Danio rerio: one gene and its partner. The protein of the gene in region 1 purifies or fractionates together with the protein of each later gene. This does not show direct contact. Links are inferred from orthologs where the notes say so. Each region holds a gene or a part of one and is shown in the gene's direction. Other genes may lie near its edges.

Evidence for each region. The genes of interacting proteins can lie anywhere in the genome.
Region 2: the proteins of csk (region 1) and pxna purify together in Homo sapiens (affinity purification with mass spectrometry; 4 studies listed by BioGRID and IntAct, with this or other methods). This does not show direct contact. The link is inferred for Danio rerio from reciprocal best matches to the Homo sapiens genes CSK and PXN.

What each region holds. Positions count from the first base shown.
Region 1 is NC_133200.1:21,860,212-21,864,313, reverse strand, and holds the end of csk (tyrosine-protein kinase CSK), read left to right. Parts: intron 1-1,789; coding exon 1,790-1,972; 3' UTR 1,973-2,990; downstream 2,991-4,102. UniProt on the Homo sapiens protein: Non-receptor tyrosine-protein kinase that plays an important role in the regulation of cell growth, differentiation, migration and immune response.
Region 2 is NC_133180.1:7,364,323-7,369,425, forward strand, and holds part of pxna (paxillin a), read left to right. Parts: intron 1-2,451; exon of another isoform or gene 2,452-2,510; coding exon 2,511-2,716; intron 2,717-4,352; coding exon 4,353-4,560; intron 4,561-5,103. UniProt on the Homo sapiens protein: Cytoskeletal protein involved in actin-membrane attachment at sites of cell adhesion to the extracellular matrix (focal adhesion). Recruits other proteins such as TRIM15 to focal adhesion.

The sequences.
Region 1 (4,102 bases):
ATTGCAGTATCAATGCTGAGACGATATATTGTGCAGCCCTAGTCATAATATATTTAGCTCATAAATTATTCTTGCTATTAACAAACTAATAACTATGATGTTTGCCTCAATAAACTTCTAATTTGCTGTTTGATAGAGTATTTGGATTTAGGTGATAGCTAGAATTCTTGATGTCGAATAAGATCATGCAGAATATGTACTTTACATATAAACAGCCAGTATTTAAACAATAGGCAGGTAATAGTCCACCAGTTGGTACAAGTGTTGGCAATTTTATTATATTCAGAGTTCCGACCCTTCTTGAGTTTCAGACATACAGTATGGGTTCAAGGCCTGTAAAATACTTATAAAATTAATTATTGCTTACATTTATATAGCACTTTTCTGGACACCCAAACGCTTTACACATTTTCGGGGTGGAATCTCCTCATCCACCACCAATGTGCAGCATCCACCTGGCAGAGAGGAAACAGAGTGATGAAACCAATTATGATATGGGGATCTCAGTTTAATGTCTCATCCAAAAGATGGCGATCACCAAGCAGTATAGAATCCCTATCAATATACTGGGGCATTAGGACCCACACAGACCGCAGTTTGAGAGCCCCCTGCTGGCCTCACTAACACCACTACCAACAGCAACCTAGTTTTCCCATGTGGTCTTCCATCCATGTACTGACCAGGTACTCAGTCCTGCTTAGCTTCAGTGGGCGACCATGTGAAAGTTGCAGAGAGCTAGCTGCTTATACACAGGTCCTTAAAAGTGCTTGGATTAAATTTTAATTGAAATTTGTTTATGGATGGTAAATTGTGCTATAAAAAAAAAAAAAAAAAGAGAAATTCTTTAACTAAGAATCTTACATTTAAACCTTGTACAATAACACTGACAAATAATGCACATTTGATCAATATTTCTGAAACCGCATTTGAATATTACCAGCATTGAAATCAACAAATCTGATTAAATTTCTTTGACCATGACTTTTTAAAATGTTTGAAAAGTGTTTGAAAATGACTTGTAAGTATTAAGTGAACTGTTAATGCCCACATGAACTGGAAGCTGCAACCGTTTTTGTTTGTTTGTTTGTTTTTCTCCATATTGTGATGCAGTTCCTAGAGAAACTGAATATTAAATGAGAAAACAGTGGGCGTGGCTTGTTTTTTTCTACTGTGAGCTGATTGGATGTAGTAAAGTAGGCATTTCATTTAGAAAGATGTGGAAAAGTATTTAGGGAGAGTTATTACAACCTAACAGATTCCTCCTCCTCACCATTTCTGTTTGTTTTCATATCTGAGTTGAACCAGCGTGGTTAAATATGTTAGCTACGCCCAGTTGCTAAGATATACGTAATCTGAGAATAAAACAAACAGCAAGTGCATTTTCAGATTTCGATAAAAGATTAGAAGGGCAAACAATTTTTTTTTCTCATAATGACATGCACAGATGAATTGTCCATCCCAAAACAATCAATTGAGCTAACAAAATCATATGGTTAGTTTTGATTTCATAGGGACTTAAAAGTACATTAAGGGCTTTCATGGCACTACATATGCTAAGGCATGAATTACAGAGGTCCTTGAAACTGTTGTTCAGGAAAGCATGGGAACTCTGTTACATTAGTTTTATCTCATTAATTTTTTAGTTATTAACAAATACATCAATTTTTCAAATGTTATGTTTTACTTCAGTATAATTTCAGATTCCTACCAGTAGAGGGCACCGTTGTCTCCTTAAGCACATTTTGTTTTGTTTTATCCTGAGTCATTGTCTCTCTTTCTCTTCTTCCAGCCTCTAAAGGAAGTGGTCCCGCGTGTAGAGAAGGGTTATAAGATGGACTCCCCCGACGGCTGTCCTCCAGTGGTGTACGACATCATGAAGCAGTGCTGGACTCTGGATGCTGTGGTGCGGCCAAGCTTCAGAGACCTTCGAGAGAAACTGCAAGATATCATAACCAATGAGCTCTACCGATAAAAAGACTGAAGAAGAGTACAAACACCTCCATGGGACCATCCTCATTCAATCTGACCAAATCTACTCTTAAAGAGGTGGACTTGACAAACATCACAAGTTACGTTTGCAAGCGCGTTCTTTTCTTCTCGCTCTCTCTTTCTCTCTCTCTACATCTTTTACTTTGCTTGGTTTTCTTAATTTTGGGGAGGCTGGCCTTCTCTATACAACTCACCTCTTTTTGATTCATAAGATCTTCAGCCTCCTCTGACCTCATATGTCTTCATATTCTCCCCCATTATGGATTTTTGATTTGATGATGAAGTACTTCCTGCTAAAAATATGATGATAATAATCAGTATTAGTATAAAAAACACAACAAATATAATGAAAATTATTCACAGGACTTTTTGGCCCTGTTGATTCTGCAAAATCCTAAACCAAAAAGCAATAATTGGCACTTAGAGATCATATCCTCATCCTATTTTCATTTCCAGTAGCCGGTGAAATACATGAGGAAGTCTTTCTTCTATTTCACAGTGCCTTTATGCCAGAAGTCTGTTTTACCTCAGAGCTTGCCTTTTTTTGTTTGTTTTTTTGCATAATTTTTTATACGTTGTTTAAAAGCGCTTGCGTTTCCTGCTTTTTTGCATCTCATCTTTCCACACATGTCAGTCTGAGCCTCCAAACCGGAATGGATGAATATAAACATGGAATATAAACACATTTCAAATGAGATGTGGCTTGGGTGGAAGCCAGAATGCTTTAATTCAGTATAAATAAATAAATAAAATAGTAAGACAAAGAAACTATACTAAAAGCCCACAAGTACAGATTTGTGGAATATTTGTTCTATAAGTCATATGCTGATTATTATTTTTTTTTGGTCGTCGTGAAGGACTTGATTTTACTCGCAGTGCTTTATTTTTTCTTCTTTTTAAACATTTTTTGCTGCCACATTACAAAAGAAATCATTCCACCAGAACAGTTTGATAAAAAGAAAGTTAAACAAAAAATAAAAAGGCTGCCAAAAAGCTTGGAATGTGTGTTTATGTGCCGTTTAAAATGCCACTGTTGTGCTTTCATCCTGTATGTAATATCTCTGTTTGTAAATGTAAAAGGTTTGCAAAATATCAAAGATCAAAGTGCTCGATAAATGGAGTTTATGTCTCCCAAAAAAAACAACAGCAACATCCTGATTCTGAATTTCCTGAAATGAGTCGTCAGTAATTCCATTTTGTCTTTCTTGCACAAATAGCGACCGTTTTGTAGGCAATAGTGTTGGGAAATAGCCACTGTTTTGTAGGCAATAGTGATGGGAAGTTCGGATTATATTGCTAACTCAGACCTTTGAGTCTCGTGCAGCGAGGTGAACAAATCTTTTTTAGAGTCATTTCGTTCGATTTGCCAAAATATTATTAAAATGTTACGAGTTGCTTCCAATGACATCTACAATTACACCAAATAAAATTCACCTTTCGAGTCTTCTGGTTTTTGAGTCATTCGTTCATCATGTGATGGCATGTAAAGAGAGATGTGAGAAATGAACAGATCAAATCTTTTTCATATGATTTGCTTCTGTTTTTCATGGGATGAACGAACGGCTTAAACCAAGGACTCGAGAGATGAACGGATCAAATCTTTTTCTTGCTCTAAATGCATATGATTGGCTTCTGCCTTTCACGTGATGAACAAAAGACTCAGACCAAGGGCTCGAGAGATGAACGGATCACATCTTTTTTCGGCTCTAAATTCATATGATTGGCTTCCATCTTTCACGTGATGAACAAACGACTCAAACCCGATAGAAGACTCAAAAAAAGGTACTAATCTTCTACTCCACCTGCACAAATGTGAGAAAACTCATCGTTCTCGAGTCATACAAAAGATTTTTTCAAAATGAATAAATCATCTAAAAACAACCCATCACCAGTAGACAATGTAATGCCATCATGGTTATTTCTGTCATAACAAAGTTATTGTCACAAGCCCGTAGACCAATCACAGAAGAGTAGGCTCTCGGAAAGGCAGGGCTTGAATGAATCATTTCAGACAGAAAACCCAGGATTCTTGAAAGTACTTGATTTCAAACATACATGAATTCAAGGCCTGGAAAGTACATAAAAACAAACATATGTTCTTGAAAGTGCTTAA
Region 2 (5,103 bases), on another chromosome or scaffold:
GTATGCATTTTACATTTATAAATTAACTAGCTCAACATTTTATTTGCTATAGATCATTTTGAGGTATGTAAAAAGTAATTAAGGTCCTTAAATGTTCTGTTTTACGTTTATAATTATAATATATAGCTTTAGAGAATCCCAAAAGAGTCACATATTGAAAATTAATGTTATGATAGCGGTTTAAACGTCAAGATTGAATTGACTTTTGTTAGAGTTATGAATTAGTTTGACAACGAGCAGGAAATGTTCATGGCCCAATGGCATCACCACATTGAAATGGTCTATATTTAGAAATTATGCTCAATGTTGTTATTTCCTTCTTAAATATTCTCTGTCCAGGATATTTCGGCCTTACTATTTTAAATATTTTTTATAATACACATATTATGTTTAAATATGTTGCTATTATGATAGATTTGTAAGATGTGGATTAGATTTTTCCACATTTATCACCCTGAAAAAAATTAAACATTGGATTTACTACATTTTCTTTAAGGTTAGTGGTTGAAAACAATTAATATGGGCTGAATTTAACAAAGTTGAACATTGCTACTTTTCAATTGTTTGAATTCGCCTCATTTAAATAGTTTGCAACCACTTACCTCAAAAGACATCCAATTTTTATTTAGTGCATAGTGTACAGCTGGACTTTTACAGCTCACTGGTTCACTTTAGCAATCATATAGAGTTGTCATGCTGCAATCAATCACTTCCTGTATAGACATGGCGTAACACGCTTCATAGCAAAACTGGTGATGCAACCCCTATCTAAAGGTGCTTTCTTTTCATATCTAATTGCTATATGTAGGACTTTTAACCACAGATGGTCTATAGTTCCTTAAGAGCATGTTTTACAGGCTTAGTTGTGTGTGTGTGTGTGAGAGAGAGAGTGCTTTCAGCTCCATTCCTGAGCGTTTGGCTTTTGAACATTGATTTTTTTTCGTCTTATGTGCATTAAGAGGTGTGTGTGTGTGTCCGTTTATGCATTTTGCGCTTTTCTTCCTGCTGAATCTGTCCCTGTAGGCATGTTGTTTTAGAGCAGTCTTTACATGCAAGGTTTGGCCACACCCCATATGAGCGAAGTGATTTCACCATCCTCGTCCTGTGGTTCATAATTATCCCACTGTTCCAGGATCAGATCCAGACCAGGAAGAGACATGTTGTGAAGAGACTTGACAAAGAGTTATTCAACAACAAGCCGCTTGATTTCTGATAGATTTATGTTGTTTGCAAAACCAATGAAGGGAATGTGAATCTAAAGCGCATATCAGAATTCTGGAAGCTCTTGGAATCAGCAAATTGTTATAAGCTTTTTTTGTTTTTTATGAATGTTTAAGGGGTGTGTGGCATGATCATGGGCGTAAATCTGATTTAACAGTAGGGGAGACAGTAAACATAAAATTTCTTTCCAGCATTTTTTTGAAGGGGACACAAATAATACAGCCGATTTGTACTAAGAAAGAAATGTCCCCGCAGTTCAAAATGGTTTCATCATTATTAGTATAGCATGGAGACTACGCCATTATGATTAGCTTTAAAGTTTTTCTCAGGTTCAATAACAAAGCAAATTTTTCTATTTTTTGCATTGTTTGTTGTGTTGTTTACAGTCAACAGACTGACTCCTGAAGCAGAATAAATTGGAAGGGAGGGGATATGTCCCCCCCATCCCCCCCGGGATTTACGTCTCTGGGCATGATATTATACAGTGCTCAGGGTAAATGAGTACACCCTCTTTTATTAAACCGTTATGTCCGTTAAAATACGAGTTTGGCCACCTAATATTATTTAGGAATACAAAGATAATTCATTTTATTTCAAAAGAGTTATTGCAAATTAAAAAAACTAATAAATAGAAATGAACAGTTGAAGTCAGAATTATTAGCCCCCCTTGACATTCTTTCTCTTTTTTTTATATTTTCCAAATGATGTTTAACAGATTCAGGAAATTTTCACTGTATGTCTGATAATATTTTTTCTTATTTGTTTTATTTCAGCTAGAATGAAAACGTTTCTTAATTTTTTAAACACCATTTTAAGGACAATATTATCATCAATATGATCAATATTATCATCCCCATTTAGGCAACTTTTTTTTCGATAGTCTACAAAACAAACTAGGGCTGCACGATTAATCGAAAAAAGATCATGATCTCGATTCGACCCTACACACGATCTTAATTCAGCTTTTCTACCATTCAGCCAATCATATTTTCAAGGTCAGGAGAGAAGCTTAAAAGTGGTCGCACAAGTCTTCACAGCAACACTGACACCTTCAAATGGCGTTAATGTTGTTTTAATTAATGTTATTTTTCATTTTAATTAAATTAATTAAATGTAATTAATTATTTTTTATTTAAATTATTTATTTAAATTAATACATTTTATTTTTTGAATTAATAAATAACATTTATAAAAAATAATTTATTTATTTGTTTTATTTTGTTTATTTAGTCTTTAAATTAGCTGTTTTCTTGATTAAAACCATTGCTTTATTTATTTCTACCTAACAGATGCTCTTCTCGCGGATTTGGAGTCCACAACCTCCCACATTTCCAAACAAGGTGTTTTTCTGCCAGAAGAGACGCCATATTCCTGCCCCAGAGGAAGCGACTCTTATCAGGACGTGTCGTCTCCGCCTCGAGTAATCTCCCCTCCTGCTGAAACTCTGAATGGATCTTGGGTAGAAAAACCAGAATCAAAGCACTCATCAACCCAGGTAAAATGCATCATCATTACTTCCTGAAGGGTTTTCTGTTGCTCTTTATATGAGTCTCCTTGGTTATCCTTTAACCTTATGACAAATACCAGATGCGGCCTGTTCCACTTTCTGCTTGTTTTGCCCTCAAGCAAAGCACTTCATCTTTGGTTGCTCCAGAGGCTTGTGCCATTAAGCAGGTTCAGGAGATTCAAGGTTATATTTGTTAGATCTGCATAATACATCTAAAAAGTATCGTTATCTTGATAATAGTATATGCAATATACAGTTGAAATCAGAATTAGTAGCCCTCCTGGATTATTAGCCCTCCTGTATTTTTCCCAATTTCTGTTTAACGGAGAGAGGATTTTGCAGCACATTTCTGAACATAATAGTTTTAATAACTCATTTCTAATAACTGATTTCTTCAATATTTACCATAATGACAGTACATAATATTTTACTGGATATCATTTCAAGACATTAGTACTCTGCTTAATGTGACATTTAAAGGCTTAACCAGTTAAACTCTGCGGACCCGGTACTGGGTCCGTGACGTCATCAACTTTCACTTTAAGATTTAAAGGGCTAGCATTGCACCAGACCCCCATAAGTGGTTTCGTTTGAAAGTGTAGAATCTATATTTTATCCACATATGCATCACTTTGGTTTTTATTCTATTGTACAAAAGTTATTTACTCTTAAATACACAGTATTTTGGATACCCGAGCTGGGTATTGAACATTGTTTCATTTTCATATTGTTCATATATGACACATGTACAAGTTATAGCTCAAATGAAAGCTCTTGCCGGTGCTCATACGGTTCTAGCATTCTTTTTACTGAATTATATTCACATATTAAATAGTTTTCGAATGAATCGCGGTGTCTCCATGGCGCAGGAGTAAAAGCAATACATTTATGACCAATAAGCAGCCCCAGATAGCACAGACAGCTGTCATCTCTTACCTTATGCTGTGCTATTCAGGGCCAATTCTCCACTGTTTTTGAGGTGATGTGTTTTGTGTTTACCTCATGGTTAAAGTTGGTGCACGTCTGCCGGTTCCTGCCTCAAAATGAGCGAGTTTAAGCCACTTGTACATTAAGGAAGCGTTCAGAAAAAAAACACACCAGTGAAGAAACTCGACACAGATGAACAAACACCTCACTGCCAACCAGCGTTTTTGCAGAACAACAGAAACAGCGCGCAGAAGTCTAAACGCACAGCTACGCGCGTTGCATGCGCCGTGGGTCATGCCAATCACTTGACACAGGAGTATAAACCAGACTTTAAGCGGCTGTATATCTCTTCATAGCAATCCCTAAATTGCTATTAGCTATAAATAAGCAGGGGAATTCTCGAGATCTACCTGAGCTCAAACTCCCCTCTTGTCCTGCAAACAGGAGGGAGCCCCGTGCTCGAGGATCTTCTGAGCTCTTATGAGCTGCCAAATACACTTTTTAATCATCAGCTAAGTGTAAACTCTTGAAATGACTTGTAATTCTGAAATTTTAGTTCTGATTTGGTAAAAAGTATTTTTATTATTTGTTTTACCAGGTGAAAAAAGTCTGAATTATTAGTGAAAATGTTGCAATTTAATTTGCTTTCATTTGTAAAGTTAATGTACTTAATTGTAAAACATTTTTCTTTTCTCAGTCTTTCAACTCCGCCCCGAAAAGCAGCAGCCCTCGCGTGTCGCAGTCTGAGGAAGAGCACGTCTACAGTTTCCCCAACAAACAGAAGTCGATTGAGTCTCCCACCGCCGTCATGAACTCCTCTCTGGGCAGCAACCTGTCAGAACTGGACCGTCTGCTGCTGGAACTTAACGCTGTGCAGCACAGCACTCCCTCTTTCCCTGCTGAAGGTCAGTTTGTAAAGCACCAAATCATCACATGTGCACTTTTGACATGGATATCAAACAATCTAATAAAGTGTTTCCCGACCCTGTTCCTGGAGGCACATCAACAGTACTTGTTTTGGATGTCTCCCTTATCGGACCCTTTCATTCCAGGTTTTGCAGTCTCTTCTTATGTTCTGATGAGGTGATTAAGGAGTGTTTGATTAGAAAGAGGTTGAAAATGTGTACTGTTGGTGTGCCTTCAGGAACAGGGATGGGAAACATGTTTTCTATTGTTTATTTATTGGTTGGTTAGGGTTATAACTGTTCCAGATGTGATGTCTTGGGTTTGACAGTGGCTGCATCCAAAATCGCATACTTCCATACTATATAGCATGTTAAAAACAACATCCGAGACAAGTAGTATGTCCAAATTCATTGAACGTTCATAGCAAGTACATTGATGACTGACTACTTCCAGCAAGATTCTGAAGTGCACATCCAATGTATGCTACACTATCCCATGATGCAATACGAGAGAATTCATGAACGGGAGTAGTACATCAGAGT